Linked DNA regions of Mus musculus: regions 1, 2 and 3 are each reported to be linked to region 4. The links are microRNA targets in miRTarBase. Many come from high-throughput screens and were not tested one by one. Region 4 holds a microRNA gene; each other region holds the end of a gene's coding sequence.
The links. The annotated mature microRNA mmu-miR-3089-5p reads UGAGUUCAGGGACAGCGUGUCU and lies in region 4 at 2,408-2,429, shown strand. An mRNA with a match to its seed (bases 2 to 7 or 8) in the 3' UTR can be bound and repressed. Matches are read on the target gene's strand: a 7mer-m8 pairs with bases 2 to 8, a 7mer-A1 pairs with bases 2 to 7 and ends in A, and an 8mer does both.

Region 1: the mRNA of Eno2 is a reported target of mmu-miR-3089-5p. Seed matches in the 3' UTR shown: 8mer at 2,117-2,124 and 7mer-A1 at 2,216-2,222.
Region 2: miRTarBase lists Saysd1 as a target of mmu-miR-3089-5p. Seed matches in the 3' UTR shown: 7mer-m8 at 1,224-1,230 and 8mer at 2,355-2,362.
Region 3: the mRNA of Fam161b is a reported target of mmu-miR-3089-5p. Seed matches in the 3' UTR shown: 8mer at 1,712-1,719.

What each region holds. Positions count from the first base shown.
Region 1 is chr6:124,756,371-124,762,361 of GRCm38, reverse strand. It overlaps Eno2 (enolase 2, gamma neuronal), which reads left to right. Exons shown (of 12, transcript NM_013509.3): 11 at 656-714; 12 at 1,000-2,309. The coding sequence ends at 1,069. It overlaps Atn1 (atrophin 1), which reads left to right and starts at 5,875. Exons shown (of 10, transcript NM_007881.4): 1 at 5,875-5,991.
Region 2 is chr14:20,072,438-20,078,428 of GRCm38, reverse strand. Saysd1 (SAYSVFN motif domain containing 1) reads left to right here. Exons shown (of 2, transcript NM_026209.1): 2 at 785-2,793. The coding sequence ends at 1,141. Among named protein-coding and RNA genes, the nearest start is that of Saysd1, 7.7 kb to the left of the region's middle.
Region 3 is chr12:84,341,418-84,347,408 of GRCm38, reverse strand. Fam161b (family with sequence similarity 161, member B) reads left to right here. Exons shown (of 9, transcript NM_001358283.1): 8 at 474-622; 9 at 1,000-2,100. The coding sequence ends at 581. It overlaps Zfp410 (zinc finger protein 410), which reads right to left. Exons shown (of 12, transcript NM_144833.4): 12 at 2,970-4,414. The coding sequence ends at 4,376. Among named protein-coding and RNA genes, the nearest start is that of Fam161b, 17 kb to the left of the region's middle.
Region 4 is chr2:30,718,815-30,724,805 of GRCm38, forward strand. Mir3089 (microRNA 3089) reads left to right here and starts at 2,396; the gene lies at 2,396-2,479. Gm14488 (a long non-coding RNA gene) reads right to left here and starts at 2,373. Exons shown (of 4, transcript XR_866106.3): 1 at 1,159-2,373; 2 at 892-1,056. Gm39782 (a long non-coding RNA gene) reads right to left here and starts at 4,969. Exons shown (of 3, transcript XR_866107.2): 1 at 4,809-4,969; 2 at 4,241-4,292; 3 at 2,749-3,899.

The sequences.
Region 1 (5,991 bases), not on the chromosome of region 4:
TGGTGAGATGGCTCAGCCCAGTCCTAAGCCTGACTCTCAGCTTTAGTCTGATTTGTGGGACCCACGGGTTAGGAGAGAACCAACTCCCACCAGTTGTCCTCTGGCCTCCACATGCACACCGTGGCATGAGCAGATCCACAGACGTGTACACAGACACAACTTAAAGCATTAATTTTTATAATTAATTAATTAATTAGTACAAATACAGATGTTTCAGAGTTGGAGGTTCAGCTCATTTATAGAGTACTTGCCTAGTACGTGCAAGACCCTGGGTTCCATTTAAAAAAAAAGGGGGGGGGGAGTAGGATATGACATTGCACGCCTTTAGTCCCAGCACCCAGGAGCCAGAGGCAGGAGGATCTCTGTAAGTTCAATACCAGCTTAGTCTATGTAGGGAGTTCGCTACATAGTAAAACTCTGTCTCAAAACAAACCAAAAGCCCTGGACTTGGGGATACATGCCTTTTGTCTCCACACTCGGGAAGCAGAGGCAGGAGGATGAGGAGTTCTAGGCTAACCTGTCCCTTTAGAGGACAACCTTCATAAAAGTGTCTCAAAAAAAAATGTATGTATGTGTGTGTGGCAGGGGTGGGGCATAGGGGTGTCCTATCAGGCGAAGGAAATCCTTAAGCTGCCTATCTCCTGGAATGTTTCAGATCAAGACTGGCGCCCCATGCAGATCTGAACGTCTGGCGAAGTACAACCAGCTCATGAGGTGAGGAGGGTCCCCGAAGAACAAGAACCCGAAACCCGGGGTCTAAACGCCCCATTAGGCCACCATTCCACCTCCTGCATCCAGGACCTGGATAGCAGTTGATGCCAAGAAAAGTTTTGCTAAGTGGGTTCAAGGATGGTCCGATTGACAGATCACTAACTGACCACGAAAGCCAGGGACCGTTCACCTTGGGGCAGCCCTCAAAGGGGGAGCATTGAGGGACTCAGGGAGAAAGGCTGATCCCGTCTTCTCCCCTGACTGTCCCCCTTCCGGATCATCTGTCAGAATTGAGGAAGAGCTGGGGGACGAAGCTCGCTTCGCGGGACATAATTTCCGAAATCCCAGTGTGCTGTGATCCCCTTCCCCCAACCCCGCTTGCCTGAACGCGGGAACATCTCATTCTCCTGGAGCCTCTTTCTTGCTGCCCTGACCTGCCATAGTCACTCTGATACCCTGAGCCCCAAGTCACCCAGAACACCTCGACTCACCGCTCCTGCTGTTCTTGGCTTCCACAACCCCCCTTGCTCTCTCTGCTCTTCCTCCTCTCTGGGCCCCATTTTTGGGGGGATTCAGTCTTCCCACTTTCCCTTCTATTCTCTCTTCTCTTTAAAAAAAAATTATGAAGATTAGAAGGGGGTCCACAGAAGAATCCTCAGTGTCTGACAGGAGCTTCAGGATTGGTGTGTTGGGGTGTTTAAAGTGGGGTCACGGGCATGAGTGTTTCAGTGCTTACCATGGTGTGTATAAGCCTTGAACTATGCATAGAACTGGAGTTTGGGGAGTGCTGGATGTGTGGTCATGCTTGGTTGAGGCTTTAGTGTATGTGTTTACATACACAAGCACAGTTTGTTTGTTTGCTTATTTATTTATTTATTTATTTATTTATTTATTTATTTATTTATTTCTCAGCTGGTCAGTCAGCCATCTCCTGTAACTCTCCAGTCTGAAAGTGACCTAACTTGACAGGACTAGGCACCCCTATTCCATGTGGCTTCATTCCAAGATGACCCAGGATGGGGATTTTGCTAGCATGGGAAGGGGAACAGAAAAGGGCCTTAGCAATTGCTTCATTCGGTGCACTAACCGAAGCTCGGAACTTTACAGAATGGGGCTGTGGACCTGGGGAGGCTTTTCTCCTCTAACCCTCTCCCCAGCCCTAGGCTCCTCCGTCTTTCTCCGGCTGCACCAGAGCGCTGCCTCACTCCCCTGCGCCATGTCCCACAGTTGCCACCATCTCCGTGGCTTTGAAATGACCACCACCATTAAAGTCTGAATCACAGCGCACCACCCCTTGTCTGAGGACTCTTACTCTCTGCTCCATGTGAGAGGACGAAGAGAAACGACTGGATATTGGCGATCCTAGGTAGCAGATCAGGGGAGGGCTCAAAAAGCGGCAAGCCACTGAACTCATGACCAAGTTTGCAGCATTGCTGGTGATGTGGGATCCGTGGGGTTTTTGTTTCCCAAGACAGGGTTTCTACGTGTAGCCCTGGCTGTCCTGGAACTCACTCTGTAGACCAGGCTGGCTCCAAGTTTACAGAGATCCGCCTGCTTCTGCCTCCCGAGTGCTGGGATTAAAAGCTTGTACCACCACACTTGGCTGAACTAAGGATTCTTAACCTGTGGTACTGGAGTTACTCAAACATCAGGGATTGAGTGTATCTGGGGTGAGGAACAAAGCGTTTCTGGTTCCTAAAGTCTTGGACCGAAGTAGGAACAAAGCAGTAGACCAATAACTAAAGCGCCCCTGTACTGGTCCTCAACAGAATTCTGGATGGCTTTGAAATGAGAGTATCATGGCCACCAATTCCTTTGGAATACAGAACCAAAGAAAAAAGGGAGAGAAGAAATATTACGGGTACCAGGAGCTTGGGAATCCGACTTCTCCAGTAAAATGGATGCCACACCTGAAGTGCTCTCCAGCCTCCCCGTTAGCCAGACTGAGAGGATATCAGTGTGTAGACAGAGGCCCTCTAACCTTTCAGCTCCAGTGAGGCTGTGAGGTTGAAGCACCCAGCCCGCCTTGGGGGACAATCCCCCTAACATTACTATCCTTAGGGTACTAGGGCTCACGCTTGCAGGCAGCATCTGCCCATGAATAGCTGTGGCCATTAGGGGGAGCCCAAGTTCTGCAGGACACCTTACTAGACGCCAAGGTGAGGTTGGGGTGGGAAGAATTTCAAGGTTGCACCCTCTGCCCTCCTCCCGCGGATCCTCCCAAGTTCTGGTCCCAGGCTCCCTCAGACTTCCTTCTCCCTTTAGGGCTAACAGAAACTTGCACTGGTGAAGCCAGGAGCCACATCTCCCCACCCATCTTCTTGTATCCCCCAGCTATTTTCAGTTCAAAGAACTTCTTGCTCCCTCTCCTTCCCTGTGCCCTTGAATTCCTATGTAAGCTCCTCGTTTTTTTTCCCCCTTCCAGCACCCCTATATGGCCCCGGGGGCTCGCTACACTTCTCTGGGGCTGCTCTCTCAGAAACTCCTAGGCTTTGGTCAGGGCTATTGTGGCTGTAGCCACCATTCCTAACCCTTGTCTTTTCTTTCCTCCATCCTAGCTAGGTGCCTTTTTCTGACAACATTCCCAGCCCCCTTCTGGTACCAGGTTGGATTGGGTTACAGCTAGCTCTGCTTGGGCCTCCAAGGCCCCTCTCTACTTTCCTTTTGTGCCATTGCCTGGAGACCAGGTGATTGTAGGGGGCTGGGGCCAGAGAGGGAGCTGGGGTGAAGGATAGGGGTGGGGTGTATATTTAATGCTCCCAGCAGCTGAGCTGTGAGCCTGGTCTTGGGTACCAGAGGAACTGGAAGGTGTAGTGCTGGCTTCTTTTCCTAGTTCCATGCCTTGTCCTTCCCTAGGCCTACATTTTTCTTTTAGGCTTAGATAAGTTACCATCTTGGCTGTTGCCTTAGCGGCTAAACAAGGGTAGAGGTTGAGTCTGGAAAGGATTGGAAAGGTCCTAGGCCAGGCCTAGTGGGAAACTAAAGGAAAGAGAGGAAATGCTATGGGGAGAGGGGGGAGGGAGGAGGAGTCTCAGAGCAAAATTAGTTGGTACAGGGAAGGAACTAGGTCTATCTTAGAGCACAGAGAAAAAGACGTGAAGGGTACACAGGAGAGGACCTGGTCTCTGGGAGGCCCTGGAAGGGGACAAGCAAATGGGTATGGGGGTAAAGTGAGGCCCTGCAGAGGCAAGGGACTTCACAGTGGGGTGATGGGATATTTGTTCCTAGAGGAGCCAAGCATTCTTGCTTGGTCTCCCTAGTGCTTTGGAATCTGTGTAGAGCTTTTGGGTAAGTTCAAGAGCTTGGCTGAATCTGGCCTAAGGAATGGTGGTGTAAGACCTACTGGGTGGCTACTAGGCTAGCCGTTCTCCTCCCTTCCACAAAGGCAGTTTGCCCACTCAGTGTCCCCCACTCCACCCACTAGGTCTGAGCTAGGCTGGCCCCCTACAAGCTCTCTACCCCCACCTCCAAATCTGGTGAACTACTAAGGGCTCCCAATCCAGACTCCAGCTCCAGCTCTTCCGGGCTCCCAGCCTGCCTCCCTCCCTTTCTCTAGCCTTCCCAATTTCAGCTGCCAAAAATCACCCTGTCTCTAGTGTCCTTTGTCCTGAGAGATGTTGCTGCTGGTTTGGGGCCAGAGAAGGAGCCCAGAAGAAGGCACCACTGGAGTGATGGGGGTGCTGACTTCATGGCTGTAGGTTGGGCATGGCTGGCACGCTGACTGGAGAAGAGTTGGGAGGAGCATGCTGTAGTCTGTGCTGGGGACTACTTCCATATTACAATTGTTATGGGGAACCTGGGCACCCTAAAATGTATGTAGGTCCTTTCCACCTAATCCCCCACTTCATCCCTTCTGTGACCATGACCAAAGATGCTACTAGTAATGACTTCAGACTTGAGAAGGTCTAGTTCAGGAACCTCGAGAAAATGAAGGGCCCAAAAGTGAAGTGCCACCTCTTAGTTACCTCTTCCACACTAGGGCCTGGACCCCAGTCTGTCACTCCTCCAGGGTTCTCCCTCCGTCTCTAGCTCCTCTCTTTTCCCATCACTGGCCCTCCCACCACGTTGCCACAAAAGCCCTATTTATCTTGTGTTTCCTTCCAGACCTCTCTAATTCATTCTCCTCCACTTTATTTGCCAAAGGAAATAGTTCTTAGTTCGATTGGAAGTCCCCACATTCATGTTTACCAACCCAGCCCACCCCAGTCTCCCTCTAGAATAGGCATCCTCTGCCCTCCACCCCTCTTCTGAGACTTCTCATGCCTTCTCTCCCACAGAGGGATCTCCGGACTTGCCTCCAGCTTTCCTTCATCATTCCCAAATTCTTGTGGTTTGCATTCTTCTCAACACCAATCACTGCCTTAAACGCTTATCTCTTCCAGAAACACCATTCTCCTAGTACGTCTTCATCCTTTCCCGCCCAGGTCCACAAACTTCCATCGTAGGCTCTCCAAAATAGCTCCTAAACCCCTCCAGCCTCTACTTCTGGCCCTTCCTCTCCATCTTTCCAATACAGTCCCATTATCCAAATCTCTACTTCATAATTCCCCAAACTCCACCTACTTCACCCCTGCCACAGCCCCTCTTGTCCCCAAACTTCTCCAGCCTCCCCAGGTCTGCCTTCGCAGTCCACAGCCCCTCCCACCCAGCCCTCTCCCGCGCGGGGCCCGCGAGCTCCCCACGCTCTGCGCAGCGAGGCCCTCTCTCTCTGCGCCCCGGCCGGCTTCGGCCAACTCGCCCGGCGCCTCCCCTTCCCCGATCCTCCGCCCCCCGACTGCCGCGCGCTCCCTCCCTCGCGTCTCCTCCGGGCCCCTCTCTCTCCTCCGTTCCTCCGCGCTCCCTCCTTCTCCCTCTTCCTCCCTGCTCCCATCCCCCTCTCCCGAGCGCCCTCCCTCCGCCGTCCGCTTTCCTGTGCGAGTCGCCGGACGCGCCGCCCAGCCTGTCCGTCCGCCCGCAGCCCCGCGCCCGACCGGGGCCTCGGGCCAGGACGCGTTTCGGGGTGGCAGGCCTCGGGGCGGGCTAGGGGCGCGCGGCACCAGCGGCGGGAGGGTCGGGGGTCGCGGGCCTCGCCGGGACCGCGAGTGCGGGCGGAGGCGGGCGGTGCGGCGGGGGCGGGCGCGGGCGGCGCGTTCCGGGCGGGAGGGCGGGCGAGGAGCGCGAGAAGCCGATCGGGGCTGCGCGGGGAGCCGGGCATGGGGGCCGCCCTCCGGGGGGGCCGGGGCCGCCGCCGCCGCCGCCGCGGCAGCGACTGAAGCCGCGCTGTAAGGAGGGGCGGGGAGT
Region 2 (5,991 bases), not on the chromosome of region 4:
CTTAACAACTTGGGAAATAGAGGCTTGAGAGATGGCTCAGTGGTTAACACTGAATGCTCTTCCAGAGGACCCAGTACCCACATGGTAGCTCACAATTGTCTGTGACTTCAAGATCTGACACTCTCACCCAGACATGTAGGCAAAACACCAGTGCACATAAAAAGAAACAAAGGAACAAGCAAAAACATTAAAAAAAAAAAACTTAGAAAATAATGGAGATCAGGCAAAGCTCCTATAGTCACCTATACACCAAAGGATTCCCTTAGCATCTGGCACTGTCTTCCCATGTAAGAACGCTGGATTTTAACATGCAGGCAATGGGATTTTATTGAAGATGTGTGTGTTGCAAGGTGATGGCAATTTAGAGAACTCATTGAGCAGTCAGTCGTACACAGGCTGGCTTGGAGACTAGAGAGAGATAGGAGGCAAGGGGTCTAGTTAGAAGATGCATCCCAGGCCTGGGGATGATCAGTGAAGACCAGGATAGGGTGGGCAATGGCATATCACTGATTTTTTTTTTCTCTGTAAGTGTGTGGAAGGGATTTTTGTTTCTGTTTTGGGTATGGTCTCCATTTTAGGACTGCGTTACCTCGGATGTTTCAGTCCATCTCATCAAATCAGCAAACGTGTGTTGCCCACGGCTGTGTGGGAGACAAGTGCTGCCGCTGCTGCATTATCAGCCCCTGCGTAGGTTCTGCTGGGGTACACATTAGGTGTGGCTAACAGTCCAGTAATCTCGGCTTAGGCTCCCCCGTTCTTACTTCTGTTTGTTTCTGTGTTTTAGGAAGCAGGCCAGCAGCTCCCTGAGAGCACAGCAGTCCCTCTGCCTTCCTCCTGCCGCCAGTCTTTCCTGACTAACATCACCTTCTTGAAGGTTCTCCTCTGGTTGGTCCTGCTGGGACTGTTTGTGGAACTGGAATTTGGTCTGGCTTATTTTGTCCTGTCCATGTTCTATTGGATGTATGTAGGGACTCGGGGTCCCGAGGAGAAGAAAGAAGGGGAGAAGAGCGCCTACTCTGTGTTCAACCCGGGCTGTGAAGCCATCCAGGGCACGCTGACTGCTGAGCAGCTGGAGCAAGAGTTACAGCTCAGACCCCCTCAGGGAAGTAGGACCAGCCCCAGCTGTTCCTCCTATCCTTGAACGTGGACTTTAGAGGACAAAGGACAGCTTGCAGGGTGGTCATGTCCTCCACTTTCCCCCTGACCTGCTGCAGTTTCATCTTTGAACTCCACTTTGATTTAGGTGAATTTCTCTAAAGGACACTCAGGGTGGGGCTGGTGCTGTATATAAAAGCCATAAAAGAAGGAGGCTGGTTTGTCTCATTATTGGAGTGGTGATGCTGGCATGCTAGAGATACACTGTGAGGTTCTTTGGTTTACTGAGTGATTTGGTGGAGGAGTAGGCACATTGGGGCTCCTTTTAAATATTTTAATATTTACATAGCTAAGTTCCAGGCCAGGGAAACTGGTCTGCCCCCACCTTAAATGTGTGAATGTTTTGTCCAAATGTATATAGATATACCATGTGTGTGCCTGGAACCCTCAGAGCGCCAAAGAGAGCATCAGATCCTCTGGAACTGAGTTATGGATGGTTGTAAGCCACCATGTGCATGCTGGGAACTGAACCTCAGTCTTCTGCGAGAGCAACAAATGCTCTCAACCACTGAGCCATCTCTCTAACCTTCAAAAAAATATTTTCAGAATTATTTTCTCAAAAGGTTTAGGTTGTAAGGTTTAGAAATTTTTGTTTGTTTTTGTCTTGTTTCTCCTCTTTTCCATCATCAGTGCTATTGAAATATAAAATGTCTTTAAGATTCTATAAGCAGGTCCCCATATACTACCTGTGACCATCTTTCATTTTCCCCTTAACCCTGTCCCTACTTAGGCAGGAAACCTAAGAGAAGAGAAAAAGTTTCAATAGGACAAAGTCAATAGTGGAGATAAAAAATACTTTATTTGTATGACTGTCTACATATGTATGTGTGTACCATGTGCCTGAGGATGTCAGATCGCCTGGAATTGGAGTTCTGTATGGTGGTGGGTTCTGGTAACCAGCTCATCTGCAAGAGCAGCCTGCTCTTAACTGCTGAGCCATCTTCCCAGCCCTGGAAGAAATTTGATAAGAGGTTATTTATGATTGGTACATCAAGAGAAATTCTTGAGTATGTGCAGAGGGAAGGGCTAGGAGACGGGATTCTAGTTTTACTGCTTGGGTTTTGTCTCTTTCTTTTAGGTATTTTTAAAAAAGATTTATTTATTATATGTAAGTACACTGTAGCTGTCTCAGACACACCAGAAGAGGGCATCAGATCTCATTACCGATGGTTGTGAGCCACCATGTGGTTGCTGGGATTTGAACTCAGGACCTTCAAGAAGAGCAATCGGTGCTCTTAACCGCTGAGGCATCTCACCAGCCCCCTTTTAGGTATTTTTGAGAGGGTCTCCTGTAGCTCAGACTGGTCTTAGACTCATTTTGTGGTTCTGGTTTATATATTGGGGACCAAACCTGGGATGTTTTATGCTTTGGGTGAGCACTCTGCCAATGGAGTTACTTTCCCGGCCCTTGCTTTTCATGTTTCAATTGCCGTAGAACCCTGTATGTTTCTGTCTGTGGGCTCTAGTTAGCAGTTGTATAGGTAGCAGCTGTTGGGCCTGGCTTGGGTGTTATTTCGTCTTCCAGTACAGCAGTGGAGTTTAGTTTCATTGGAATTGGGCCACACATACTTTTTCTGTGAGTCATTCTGATGAATAAAAAGATTAATTTTGTTCAAACTTAAGGTTTGAAAAAACTTACTGATTCCTTCAGTGGTTTTTCACTTTCGGAGTTAAGCTCTAATTCTTACTTTATGAAGGTAACTTTGTGTGTGCGTGCGTGCGCATGTGTGTAAATGCATATGTATGTACTGGTGTCCACAGAGGCGAGTCAGAGTTATAGGCTGTTGTCAGCCACCCAATGAGGATGCTGAGAACAGAACTTGGATCCTCTCCTAACTACTGAGCCATCGACCCAGCTCCTGAAGGTAACATTAATATCTGTGAAATATTAAACGATAGATAGAGGTCTATTGTTAATTCTTTTGTTTTCCCTTATTACATTCTACTTATGAAACAGATTCTTGGTTTTCATCTAAATTCACCTGCTTTTTTGGACTGTTATTACCCTCCTAGGTACTTGGATATGACAGGAAATGTGCAGGCCTCTTGCCAGTCATGACCCTATTCATTCTTGCTCACCTCTTCCCACAGGGTATGTGTACTGGCTTTGTATTCTAGGAAGAGTGAGATGTGAGCCAGTTACGTGCCTGCAGGGAGGAGAAGCAAGGACTGTGTATTTGCTATTCTTGTCAGAGCAGTAAGCTTTATTTTATTTTGATAGTCTTGATTTTCTGAGTTTAGACCTGTTGACCTCAGAATTTTCACTTCCCCCAGTTCTAAATATACTGCCACTAAGGGCAATTCAGTGATCAGAGAAAGAGACACAGTCATTGTAGTAGTTGCATGTGGGAGTGTTATTTCTGACACCTTCAGCATCTTACAGGCACATTGTTTTTGCTCTTTGTCACAGTAATTGGCCTTGTCTGACCATTGGCAGGGCCACATTTATTCCTAAATAAAAATGGCTTGTTTCTGTTGACCTCAAAGAAGAATTCAGTTACAAGGCTCAGGAACTTCTTTAAGAATTAGTTACCTGGGAGAACTTTTTTTTTTAATTGGATATTTTCTTTATTTACATTTCAAATGTTATCCCCTTTCCTGGTTCCCCCCTCCCAGGAACCCCCTATCCCATCCCCCCCCCCCAGTTCCTCCACTTACCCACCCACTCCCACCTCCTTGCCCTCGATTCCCCTATACTGGGGCATCTATCGAGCCTTCATAGGACCAAGGACCTCTCCTCCCATTAATGCATGACAAGGCTATATTACATATGCAGCTGGAGCCACGTGTACTCCTTTGTAGGTGGTTTAGTCCTTGGGAGCTCTAGGGGGTCTGGTTGGTTGGTATGGTTCTTTCTATGGGGTTGCAAACCCCTTCAACTCCTTCATTCCTTTCTCTAGCTCCTTTACTAGGGATGCCGTGCTCAGTCCAATGTTGGCTGCGAGCATCCACCTCAGTATTTGTAAGGCTTTGACAGGTCCTCTCAGGAGACAGCTATATCAGGCTCCTGTCATCATGCACTTCTTGGCATCTACATTAGTGTCTGGGTTTGATAACTGTATATGGGATGAATCCCCAGGTGGAACAGTCTCTGGGTGGCCTTTCCTTTAGTCTCTGCTCTACACTTTATCTCCATGTTTGCTCCTGTGAGTATTTTGTTCTCCTAAGAAGCACCCACACTTTGGTCTTCCTTCTTATTGAGCTTCATGTGCTCTGTGAATTGAATCCTGGTTATTTGGAGCTTTTGGGCTAGTATCCACTTATCAGTGAGTGCATACCATGTGTGTTCTTTTGCAATTGGGTTACCTCACTCAGGATAATATTTTCTAATTCTATCCATTTGCCTAAGAATTTCATGAATTCATTGTTTTTAATAGCTGAATAGTACTCCATTGTGTAAATGTACCACATTTTCTGTATCCATTCCTCTTTTGAGGGACATCTAAGTTCTTTCCAGCTTCTGGCTATTATAAATAAGGCTGTTATGAACATAGTGGAGAATGTGTCCTTATTACATATTAGAACATTTTCTGGGTATATGCCCAGGAATGGTATAGCTGGGTCCTCAGGTAGTACTATGTCCAATTTTCTGAAGAACTGACAAACTGACTTCCAGAGTGGTTGTACCAGCTTGGAATCTCACTAGCAATGGAGGAGTGTTCCTTTTTTTCTCCACATCCTTGCCAGTATCTGCTGTCACCTGAGTTTTTGATCTTAGCCATTCTGACTGCTATGAGGTGGAATCTCAGGGTTGTTTTGATTTGCATTTCCCTGATGACTAAGAATGTTGAACATTTCTTTAGGTGCTTCTCAACCATTCGATATTCTCCAGTTGAAAATTCTTTGTTTAGCTCTGTACCCCATTTTTAAATAGGGTTATTTGATTCTCTGAAGTCTAACTTCTTGATTTCTTTGTATATATTGGACATTAGCCCTTTGTCTTATGTAGGGTTGATAATGACCTTTTCCCAATCTGTTGATCCATTGCTGAGAGTGGGGTGTGGAAGTCTCCCACTATTATTGTGTGGGGTATGATGTGTGCTTTGAGCTTTAGTAAAGTTTCTTTTATGAGTATGGATGCCCTTGCATTTGGAGCATAGATATTTAGAATTGAGTTTGTCTTGGTAGATTTTTCCTTTGACCAGCTGAAGTGTCCTCCTTTATCCTTTTTGATAAACTTTTGGTTGAAAGTCAATTTTATTCGATATTAGAATGGCTACTCCAGCTTGTTTCTTGGGACCATTTGCTTGGAAAATTGTTTTTCAAACTTTACTCTGAAGTAGTGTCTGTCTTTGTCATTGAGGTGCACTTCCTGTATGCGGCAAAGTTCTGGGTCCTGTTAACATATACAGTCTGTTAGTCTATGTCTTTCTATTGGGGGATTGAGTCCATCAATGTTAAGAGATATTAAGGAAACGTGATTGTTACTTCCTGTTATTTTTGTTGTTAGAGGTAGAATTATGTTTCTGTGGCTATCTTCTTTTGGGCTTGTTGAAAGATTATTTTCTTGCTTTTTCTAGGATGTAGTTTCCTTCATTGTGTTGATGTTTTCCATCTATTATCCTTGGTAGGGCTGGATTTGTGGATCTACTGGCCAGGATCTACTGGCTTTTATAGTCTCTGGTGAGGAGTCTGGTCTAATTCTGGTAGGTCTGCCATTATATATTACTTGACCTTTTTCCCTTACTGCTTTTAATATTCTTTCTTTGTTTAATGCATTTTGTGTTTTGATTATTATATGACTGGAGGAATTTCTTTTCTGGTCCAGTCTATTTGGAGTTCTGTAGGCTTCTTGTAAGTTCATGGGCATCTCTTTCTTTAGGTTAGGGAAGTTTC
Region 3 (5,991 bases), not on the chromosome of region 4:
CTCCTCCTCCTCCAGGCGGCCCTGCCCCCTGCTGGACTGTCCGGAACATACTTATGGTCCACTCCTTTAGGTCCCCTTTTGTAGAAAACACAAAGTAGCCTGTGGTTTTGTTCTTAGATATGTAAAACAAGGTAGCCTTCTAGCTACTTACAGACCACACTCCTCTTGCTAAGCATTTGTGATATGTTAGTCTTCCTGAGGATGGTTTGGATGCTTTTCAAGGGCGTGCCTCTCAAATTAATTAGGAGCTGACACCTCCTAGAAGTGTTAGAGATATGAAATTGTATTTGTACCTGTATGTGAACAAGATCCCCATGGGACTCATTTTATAAACTGTGGCTAACAATAAGGCTCTAAGTCATTCCTGTGCCAGCTTTGTCCAGCACTAAAGGTGTGGGTGGTGGAAAGGGCAATATTTTAAAGACGGATTCCCCAAGTAACTCAGAGTCATACTTGTCACTTCCACTCCACAGGCCCTCGCCAGGAAAGAAGCAGAAGAGCGCTATAGGGACGCCCTGAAGCAGGCCGGCCTGGAGGAGGAGTTTGTGAGAACCAAGAGTCAAGGCACAGAGGCAGTGTGATGAAGAGAAAGCCAAAGTCAAGGAATCTCACCGGTTAAGAGGTATTGGTGTTATCCCTAAGGACGCGACCAGGAGGGAACGTAGAGAAGTTGCTCACGTGAGATAACAGCCCTGCACTTACACAAAAGCGCATCCACAAGCCCCTGAGCAACACTGTCTATGTGAGGCGATGGCTGCTCGGCTGCCATCCCTGCTCCTTACAGCTGACACCCCAGCATCACCTCTTTCATAACTGATGTATCATAAGGCAAGGAGAGAAAAGCAGAGTGCTGCTGTTATTTCCAGTTTTATTAAGTCCAAGTAATTCCTGTTTTCTCTTTAAAATTCTATTCTACCAAAAAATATAATAATAATGAAAATGTTGGAACCATTCTTAAACCTCACAGATCCTTTCCATTTAAAATACTGTTTTTTTCAGCAACTATGAAGCTACAAAACTCAGCATCCGAGGTTGACGGCTCAATTTAGAAGACTTTACAACTGCCTGCTGGCCCCAGGCTGGAACAGCAATGGCTAACCAATCTGCTTGTTGAAATAGGTCACTCACCATATCACATCAGAGCACCAAGCAACCAAGTGTGGAGGAGCTTGAGTTTAGAGTCATCTGTTAGGGTTTGGGAGAACAGAACAGAACTTCAGAGATCAAAGTGGATCCGAGGGTAGATGTACCTTAGCCCAGAGTAAAAGGCTCTTGCTTTGCACTTTACACTTAGAAGTAGGTATAGAAAATACAAGTAGAGCCCACATCTATCAAGTAGGTATAAGAGGAACAGAGGTAAGAAAATAGGTGGCAATAAGGAAACAGAAATCCAGGACAGCCAGACTAAATACATTCTCATCGGCTTCCAGTAACCTGCAATCTTAGCAGCTAAACATAGGAATACTGTGTGTGAAATAAAACATGATTCTCAGCCCACATCTGCAACCTTAAGTACAGGCCTTATCATTAGCATCTGACACACTCGGACAAGTCAGTTCTTATTGTTTGTAGGATTAATTTATAAGCTTTTTTTTAAAAAAGGATTTATTTATTTTCTATGAATACACTGTAGCCATCTTCAGACAAATCTAGAAGAGGGCATCATATCCCATAACAGATGGTTGTGAGCCACCATGTGGTTTCTGGGATTTGAACTCAGGACCTCTGGAAGAGCAGTCAGTGCTCTTAACCACTGAGCCATCTCTCCAGCCCCCTATAGGATGTTTTCTTCCTCACCCTCTTGTAACACCCCTCTTCAGGTTGTTGACAAACAAAAATGTTTCCATTTATTGCCAAATGGTCTCTAGAGAGCAAAAATGTCCCAGATTGGGAAGCACTCCTGTAGAAAGCACAGACTGGTAATTTTAGAAAAACAATTGCTAGGAACTTGTCTCCACACTAGAGGATAATTATGCAAGTCGATAGCAAATGCAGAGCGGCAGTTCTTTTCTACTGTTCTCTAAAGACACTATTCGAATACGTATGTCAGCACAGAGTTCACTTTAAATAAAACTTAACTGATTTTGTACTCATAGGTGATGTTTGAGATATTTTTTTTTCTGGTCAATAATTGTGTTGTATGCAGATGATAATGGGCTAAAAGAAGTACATTTCTCATGTTTAACCATTTCTGGAACAAATCCAAATTATCCCTTACGACTGCTATCTTAGAAGACTTACAAACTGTTTTAGTGCTGGGTCTGACACATCTGGGCTTGCCAGTCTTTGCTTGCTTTCCACTTTTTCTGAGACAGGGTTTCTCTGTGTAGCCCTTACTGCCCTGTATTACTTTATATGTACACCAGGCTGGCCTCAAACTCAAGAGATCTGCTGCCTCTGCCTCCTGAGTGCTAAGGCGTGTGTCACCACCACTACCAGCTTAGGTTTGCCAGCTCTAAACAAAAAACACTGCTGCTGCATTTTCTAAGGCTCCTCAGTTCAGTTCCGTCTACACAGCTAAAGGTACATCAGCACCTACTTTATGGCACTAGTGCTTTTCCTTATTTTTAAATTATGTACATGTGCCAGGTGGTGGTGGCTCGCACCTTTAATCCCAGCACTCGGGAGGCAGAGGCAGGTGGATTTCTGAGTTCAAGGCCAGCCTGGTCTACAGAGTGAGTTCCAGGACAGCCAGGGCTACACAGAGAAACCCTGTCTCAAAAAAAAAAAAAAAAAAAAAAAAACCAAAACAAACAAACAAAAAATTATGTACATGTTGTGTGTGTTAAGTACCCAGAACCCCGCTTTGTATGTGTCCCTTGGAGCTGGGTGACAGGGTGCTGCGAGCTGTGTGATGTGGACTGAGGTGGAATGCTCTGGAATAGCAGCAGGTGCTCTTTACTAAGCCATCTAGCTCTCCAGCCCAGAAAGTATGCTTTCCTTTTTTTTTTCTTTCTTTTTTTTGTTTTGAGACAAATTCTTAATGTATAGCCCTTGTTGATCTAGAACTTCCTATATACATCAGGCTGGCATCAAATCCAAGAAATTTGTTTGTTCCCTGCATGCTGGGGGACCTGGCTCATCAGGGTCTCCCTTAATTTTTTTAACACAGTGTCTTGCTGTGTAGAACTTGTTATGTGTCAAGGCGGGTCTCATAGTCCTGTGATCTGCCTGCCTCAGCCCCTGAGTCCTGGGACTAGAGGCATAAGCTACTATCCTATCCTTAGCCTCCTTTCTCTATTTAATATTCTATCTTAAAAGAGAAAGACTGGATAAACTTCTTGACCTCTAAGAACACATCTGTTACGAAGAAGTGGTGGTGTGTGTACGCCTTTTGTTCCAGCACTCAGGAGGCAGAGTTCAAGGCCAGCCTGGAATACAGAATGAGTTCCAGGACAGCCAAAGCTACACAAAGAAACTTTGTCTTGAAAAAAACCCAAACCAAACCAACAACAAAAATGCCCCACATCTGTCTAAAACAGCGGTTCTCAACCTATCACATATCAGATATCCTATATATCAGATATTTACATTATGATTTGTAACAGTAGCAAAATTACAGTTATGAAGTAGCAATGAAAATCATCTTATGGTTGGGGGTCACCACAACATGAGAAACTGCATTAAAGGGTGGCAGCATTGAGAAGGTTAAGAATCACCAATCTAAAACAAGAGCCAAAGAGGTGACTAGGTTGTTTTGTTTATTTAAAAGGAAAACAAACTCTAGATCATGTGGTTTTTAACTTAAAAAAAAACAACAACAACAAATAAAACCCCCTGATAACATGCTATTTTAAGTCCCATAAACAAAACAAAAAAATGACCAAGTCAAAGTGTACAGGGTAAGTTGGTACCTCAGCCTGGGCCAAGGAGAGATTCAAGTAATTTAATTTTTACAGCCCAAAGGCTAAGTCTTACTCAGGTTGCTAAAGGGAGAGTGCAATGCTACAGTGTAATTGGCACCCCTCCCTTCTTCAAAGCAACAAGGCATCTTGAAAACTCAGTGTTCTGGTTGGAAGCAGGACATAATTCAACCATATGGAAAGATAGCTGGGCCTAGGGTGAAAACTCTTCAAAGGAAAACCTTGACAGTCACAATGAAAATCTTCAGCCAACACATAATTAAACCTGCTCTTGGCAAGTCTACTCCCAAACGCTGCGCTGAGGAGAGAGGCGGCACAGGTATCCAGCCCACGGCCACTGCTTCACTCTTGGACTGCATCGGTGGAGGTTGAAGAGAGCCCTCAGACAACAGAGGCAAGGCAAGGTCTTGGTCCTTCAGACTCCTTTTAGTTCTGGCAGATTATGAGCCTTTGGATCTGTTCCCATCATGCACTCTGGGATCAGACAACAGCATCTCCAGGAGTCAGCACACTCATGTCTGTCTTTCAGTTAAATCTCCTTGGTTTAGTAACTATAAAATTGGAAATGAATAGAGACTAGGTTACAGATGTATTACAGAAGCAACGTGGGTGCTGGGAATTAAACTTATGTTCTCTGGAAGAGCAGCCAGTGCTCTGACCTTTACTACCGAGCCATCTTCCCAGCCCCACAAAGCTTGCTTTTATTTTTGTTGTTTTGTGAGACAAGGACTCTGTGTCCTGGAACTCGCTGTGAATACCAGGCAGGCTGGTCTCGAACTCAAGTGATCCATCTGCCTTTCATTCCTGAGTGCTGGGATTAATGGTGTGCACTACCACATTAATATGGCAATTGAATAACTGAATCTCTAGGCTCAGTGATTGAGATCACACCCGATGCTGGGATCAGAGACGTGTGAGACCACGCCTGGCTATCTGACAAGGGTTCTGGTGAGCAACTGAGTAAGTCCTCATGCTTATACGGCAAGCATCTGACCAAATGAGCTATTTCTCCACTTGCACCAGAAAACAGGCAGAGCATGCCAATAAGCAACAGTCATGTGTTCCCTCCACCAGGACCACAACCATGGCTTGGCTGTTTTGATTCTGTTTTCAGGGTCAGAGCCAAGACCATACAGTTGGAAGCACTCAGAATCAATCTAAATCTCTTCCTTGATTGGGGTGTTCTTAGCCAACAAGCAATTGAACATGGTCCTTTAGCTCAGGTGATTCATCCTGTTATCTCTAGACTCAAGACCACAGCAGAAGAAATGACACCTTTTTTTTTTGAACAGGGAAAGTTTCAAATAAAAATTTTTTGCCTTTTCTTTTTTCCTTAGTTGTTTTTGTTGTTGAGACCCAGTCTCATTATGACTCCGAGGCTGGCCTGGCACTCATAACTCTTCATGTCTTAGTTGTGAGATTATATGCCTATGTCAACACACCTGCTTTAGAGAACTGTTTTTGTTTGTGTGTTTCAGGGTTTTTTGTTGTTGTTGTTGTTTTTGTTTTTTGTTTGTTTGTTTGTTTTGAGACAGTTTTTTTACGTGTAGCCTTGGATGTCCTGGAACTCTCTTGCAGACCAAGCTGGCCTTGAACTCACAAAAATGGGCCTGCCTCCCAAATGCTGGAATTAAAGGCGTGCATCACCACTGCCTCACAAAAAATGTTTATATTTGCATGGATTATTAGCATGTCAGTCATATATTCCAACCATACCCTAACGCTGATTGGCTTTTCTTGTACTATGAACCCAACCCCCTCTTCTTTCCAAATATATTGTGCCCCATCTATTTCCATGGATGTCTGTTTTTGTTTTATAATTTACCTGTAACCTAGGCTGGCCTTGTACTTGTAATGCCCTTATTTCAACTGGGGATGCTAGGACTACAGGCTTGAGGCATGACACCAGCTTAATCTCCCCATTTTTAAAGCATCTTTTACATCTAGCACATTTTAAAAAAAGATGGTGTGTAAATGTGTGTGCGTGTGTACAGGAACATGTATATACATATCTGTGTGGAGGCCACTTTGCACCAGTGAATGCTGGGACGGACAAGTGCTGGACACAACTACCCAGTATTCTGGACACAACTACCCCGTATTCCCACTGGTGTGTGGGATCTGAATG
Region 4 (5,991 bases):
CCTTGCCTTTGACCTCTGCCCCGTCGCAATGGTTCCCAGAATCCGGGGCCAAGGAGTCACTAGGCCAGTCACACCCTTCACGTGGTCCCGACCCTTGGGTGCCTCTCCTGACTGATCCCACTGACCCCTTCCTCCTAAGCTAGGAACTAGCTAGCCACACAACAGCCGCAGCAGCAGCAGGCTCGCAGCGGTAGTTAGATGACAAAGTTCACCAAACCACTCGGCCTAGCAGAGCTGGGTTAGTTAAACGTCTACTACGGGCCCAGAGCTCCGGCTCCGTGTGGCCTGGTGCCCTACAACCCTCCTGTTGTCGCTATATGCTGAACGCCACCCGGGCACGAAGCAGTTAACGCCCTTGCAGCGAGCTGGCAGAGCCGGCTGCCCGGCTTATTAGTCAGCCGGCGGGGAGGGGGCGGAGGGAAGGAGGGAGGAGGGAGGGAGGGGTTCAGTGGAGAGCCGCAGAAAGCTATTCTCAGGGGCTCCCGTGTGTGGGGAGGGCGGCTCAGCGGGAACTGCCGCTTCCCAGAAAGTTGATTATTTTTAACCCAGGAAGAAGAAAGGAAGGAGGCCCAGGGAGGACTCAGAGAAGACGAGGAAAAGAGAGGAGAGGAGAGAAAAAGAGGAGAGGAGAGGCGAGAACAAGGAGAGGAGAGGAGAGAGAGGAGAGGAGAGGAGAGGAGAGGAGAGGAGAGGAGAGGAGAGGAGAGGAGAGGAGAGGAGAGGAGAGGAGAGGAGAGGAGAGGAGAGGGATAGATATTTGGAGGGAAAGGACAGGCAGGGCAGGGAGGAAGGAAGATGAGGCTTAGATATCCCACAGCAAGGGTTGGGGAACGCTCTGGGCCAATTCTGGAGGAGGAATAGATGTGGGGTACCCACCCCTGCTGGACCTACCATCCTCCTGTCCTTGTGGACTGGCCTAGTTGCATGGGGGCTTGAGGGAGGAACTGGGCACAAGGCAGTTCCAGCTCCTGGGAGTGCTCTCAGGTCAGTGGGCAGCACAATGGCACAGCCTTGTTCTGGCCTTCACGGTGACTCCTGGGAGTCTGCATGGAGGCCCTGGGAAAGAGGACAAAGAGGTTGCCTTGGTGCTTGGGCCGAGAGGGATTCACTTACGGGGGGGGGGGGGGGGGGGGTGTGGGCCCAAGTCACTTCTCCTACCTCTAGGTGGTGTCAGGCTGGGAAGGCACCTCAGAAGCAGGAGCTGGGTTCACAGAGTGAGACAAGCCAGAGACAGCTGGCCCACAGGGCTCGCAGGCGTGGCGAGCCATAAAAAATGCATTGGGTGCCCCCAAGAAGGCTGAAATATCAGGGACTTAGGCAGACTGGCTGTGTGTGTGATCTCAGCAGGGGTCAGAAGTGTCCTAGAGAAGGGTGCATGAGGATCTACTGGGATGACTAACTCAACTAATGCGAAGCCAGGGAAGACAGGACTGGCAGTCTTCAGGCCTCAGATCCAAGTGGTCTATCAATTCCTGCCTCTGGAAGGTTTGGCAGGCTTTTATGGAGCAGAGAGAACAGGTCTCCAAAGCTCCCAGAGGCTAGGAACTGGGGGCTGAACTCAAGCTTGGTTTGTGCCATGGTGGAAGACCAGCCTAGTGCAGATGCGGGAGGAATCAGAAAGCTGTCTGGGCTGGCTATGTGACAGGGAGGGCTGGTGCTGTTCAGGAGGCAGGGGACAACTCACAGGAGCAGGCTGGCAGCTTCGCATATTTGAGGGTCTGGTAGAGATGGCTCAGAGCGCCAGGTGAAAGGAAGACCCAGTGGGGAGGGCTGAGGGAGCTGCAGTGGCATTGCAGAATATGCTAGAATCCTGGTGGACCGGCTGATCCCGGTGGGTCTGCAGTATAGGCAGGGGAATCAGGTTTGTTATGGTAATGGTGCAGAGGGAGAGAGGAGGGTTCTGTTCCTATAATTGAGTACTGGGAGACACAGCAGACAAGACAGTGTGTGGCCAGCAGGGCTGAGCCTCGGGCAGGCCAGGCCGATGCCTGGAGCCTGGGAAGGTCCTGGGGACAGATCAAGAGGCCTCGGGTGTGATGTAAGGGCAGGTATGCATGTTTCTTGCTCTGAGGGCCTTGTCTCTAATTGAGAAGGATTGAGAGGGACCCAGCTACCCCTACCCAGTCACTCTGGAGCCCTGACCAGCTTCAGGCCTTTCCCCAGCAGTAGGTTGGGACTGCTCATTACCTCCACAGGATGTAGAAGGTGCCCACCCACCAAGTCACTCCCCACCCGGCCCCCAACCCCAACTGCTGGCAAGAGGAGAGCAGAGTTGAGCACACAGTAGGTCCTTTCCATGAGCCTAAGCTAGTGGGTAGAGTTAGAGCTACAGACTGGGCTGAGAGCAGAGCCCCTGCCCAGATGCCCTGGAACAGGGAGATAAGGGGAACAGCTGGTGGCTTGCAACTGAGTTCAGGGACAGCGTGTCTCAGTTTCTCTGTCTGAGCATCTGCTGATCCTGAGCTGTGTTTTTAGCTGCAGAAACCCAGGGCCTTGAGGCTCCACCCCTACACTCTGAGCACCACTGCTGCCAACGCCAAGGGGGTCTCGGGAATGGCAACTGAGAGGAGGGGGAAGGTTCTAGGACACATATGGAATCCAAAGTGCTCATCTTCCAGCTCTGAAGGGCCTGCCACGGCTAATAACAGTCTTCCAGCCAGGCAGTGATGGCACACACCTTTAATCCCAGCACTCAAGAGGCAGAGGCAGGAGGGTCTCTATGAGTTCAAGGTCAGCCTGGTTTACAGAGTTAGTTCCAAGACAGCCAGGGCTGCACAGAGAAACCCTGTCCTGGCGGGGGAGGGTGGGCTTCCCATCAAAGCTATGCTGGCCCTGCCCTCTCACCTCCTCCCAAGGGTGAGAAGAATAAGGCCCAGATCTAAAGGACAGACCTGAAGCCACCCCACGGCTGACTGTGTTCTCTGAGCCCCCACCCCTAACCCTATCTACAAAGTGCCTGGCTCCTTGGAAGCAGAGGAGGGTAGGTGTCAGGCTGTCATTCCGTGACCCAAGGCTCCCCATCAGTATGACAAGGGTGTAGGCTAGAGCCCTCTAAAGTGGACAAGACCCAGACTTCCCAGCATCCACTCTGAGAAGCCTAGCTCAGAAGAGTTGGCCAGGGCCCCAGAGCTGCACCTCCTGCTCTGTCCCCATCAGGCATCTCTGAGCTGTGAGGAGCTGTCCCCTCAACAGTGCCTGTGGAACACAAAGAGGGGGGGAGCCCAAGCAGAGAAAGAGCCGCGGGCTGCAGGCGGGCAGGCAGGCTCAGAGCGGCTCTGCTCCGCTTTCTTCTTCCTCCCTCTCTCTTTGTTAAGCTCCTTTTCAGCTGCACAGGCAGAGCCTGGGTGTTCCGAGCTGACAATAATTGCTGCGTCTAGACAGTGTCTGGTAGGAGGCCTCCTTCTCTGTGCCTGCCGGCCTCCCCGAGGCTCCCAGGCCTGGCCCACAGCCCCTGCCCGGCACCCTCAGAGGGTTCCCACACCCCTGCCTCTCTGTGGATGCCATGCCCACCCCCCACCCCCCAGTCTTTCTGCCTCCTAATTCAGTTGGGAGTACAGCTCTGTCCTCCTACCCTTGGGTCCAAAGGCACCCCAGTCTGTTCTATTTTGTGGCCTAAAGTTCAGAAACAAGACACTGTCCAAGAAGCACTGGTAATGCCAGAGGCCTCTGAAGGAGCCAGAGCTCAGCGTAAGGCAGGTGGCTGTGCTGCATAGGCCAGGGAAGCTGCCTTGCTGGGTGAGCTAAGCCTGGACCCTCAGGGTTCAATTCTAAAATTTGATCTAGGTTCTTCTAGAGTTTTCCAACCCAAAGCCCAACAAAAAGACACAGGAATCAGTGTAAGGAAGACCAAGCATTTCCCAGACCACTTTAGGCTGATGGGGATCCGTGTTTTCAGGAGGCTGGGGAAGGAGAACAAGAAACAAACATTAGGAGTTCTGAGATCTGTGCTCAACTCAGCCCTGAAGCTCTGGAAAATTCCCCAGAGTCTCCTAGAGGGTGTTGGGGCAGGCACTCAGGGTGCCACAGACAGCAACAATAACAACCAGAATCTGCTCAGCCCTGGCCCGCTCTGAGCGCAGAGCAGAGCCGACTCTGCTTGCATCTTAATGTGCTTAACCCCCTCTAGGAGAGGGCCCTGGGAGACAAGGGGAGCTGGAAAAATCCAAACGAGCCTCTGATTAAGACCTTTTTTTGTTTTTATTTTTATTTTGTCTTTTGTGAGTGAGGGGGTGGTACGTACCTGTTCGTGTGGGGGTTTGCATGTAGGAGGGTCCGTGTGCACAGATGCAAGCCTGTGGAAGCCAGAGACAGAGGTCAGAGTCTTCCTCTATCACGCTCAGCGTGTGTTTGAGAAAGGGCCTCTCATTCAACCCAGAGCTCACTAATTCAGCTAGGCTGGCCAGCAAGCTCCCGGGATCTGCTTGTCTGCCTCCCCAGCCCCAGGGGTAATAGATACCACTGCAGCTGGCTTTTAAGTGGGTGTTGGGAATCAAACTCAGATCTTCATCCTTTCATGGCCGGCACAACTGAGCCATCATCGCCCCACCCCCTTTTTAGCCAATGCCATTTTATAGGTCAGGAAATAGAGCAGAGAGGAGCTTGCTCACAGTCACGCAGACAGAAGTAGAGAAGCCAAGATCTGAAACCCCAGACACTGGCGTCAGGAGCCCAGTAATGACTCATAAACAGAGTGAGACAGCTCCAGCAAGAGAGCTGCGAGTTTGAAGCCAGCCTAGGCTACCTAGTGAGACTGCATCTCAGGAAAGCAAGGGCTGAGGAGTTGTTTCTCTCAGTGGCAGAATGCTTACCTAGAGCACACAAGACCTGGTATTCATCCCCAACTCTGTACATAAGGAGCACCGATCAAGCTTGGCATGCTGACCCACACCGGGCAGGCATCCCCGCCTCGGGAGGCAGAGGCACGCAGAGCAGGAGTTCCAGGCCATCCAGGGCTACATAGTGAGGTCCTGGCTCAAAACAAAGCAAAACAAAAAGTCCTAGGTCAGCCTGCTTAAAACAAACAAACAAACAAACAAACAAACTCACGTGCAAAAATAAAATATATGAAATTAAAGTTGACTCACAATAGAAACATTGAAACTGTCCTACCCACCAGGGCTGAGCCCAATGGCCCAGGCTGAAGGGTACTGGCGAATGCCTGGCTTCACCTCATTCCATGTGTCTGTTGACAAGAGCCAGTGTGTTGTGTGTAACAGAACCTCAGGCCGGAAAGGCCTAGCAAGCCCACCCTCGGGGTGTGTCTGTGTGTGTGTGTATGTGTGTGTGTGTCTGTCTGTGTGTGTGTGTGTGTGCACGTGTGTGTCTGTGTATGTATGTATATGTGTGTGCATGTGTGTGTCTATGTGTCTGTATGTGTGTGTATGTATATGTGTGTGCATGTGTGTGTCTATGTGTCTGTATGTATGTGTGTGTATGTATGTGTGTCTATGTGTCTGTATGTATATGTGTGTGCATGTGTGTGTCTGTCTGTCTGTCTGTGTGTGTGTCTGTATGTATATGTGTGTCTGTGTGTGTATGTGTGTCTGCATCTGTGTATGTGTTGTTTACAGACAGGATGCCATTTCTTTCCTCCTCCTCTGGACTGTCCCCAATATATCCCATTAACCCACACTGAGAAAACCAGAGTGAAATGTCTCTTAAGACAATGGCCTGGAGGAAACTGCCAAGTGGGACAGCTCCAGTCAAGGGCATGGGTGTTGTCATGTGAGGGACAAGAAACCTCTGGGAACCAAGGACAGGCCCTAGAACCAAGGCTTACCTGAAGGAGTGTGAATCTACCTGGCCTCCTTTAGCATGAAGAAGCAGCACTCTGGGCAGAGAGGCCCTTGGCTGAGCCCAGAGTGGCAAGAGTGCCATGCATAAGGCTATGGTGACTGTGAGAATGGACATTTGACTGGCTGGCTGGACAGGGCAGCTCTGTGGGTTGCAGCAAGTTAGAGGCTCCTGGTCTCTACCATTGGGCCTCCTGTG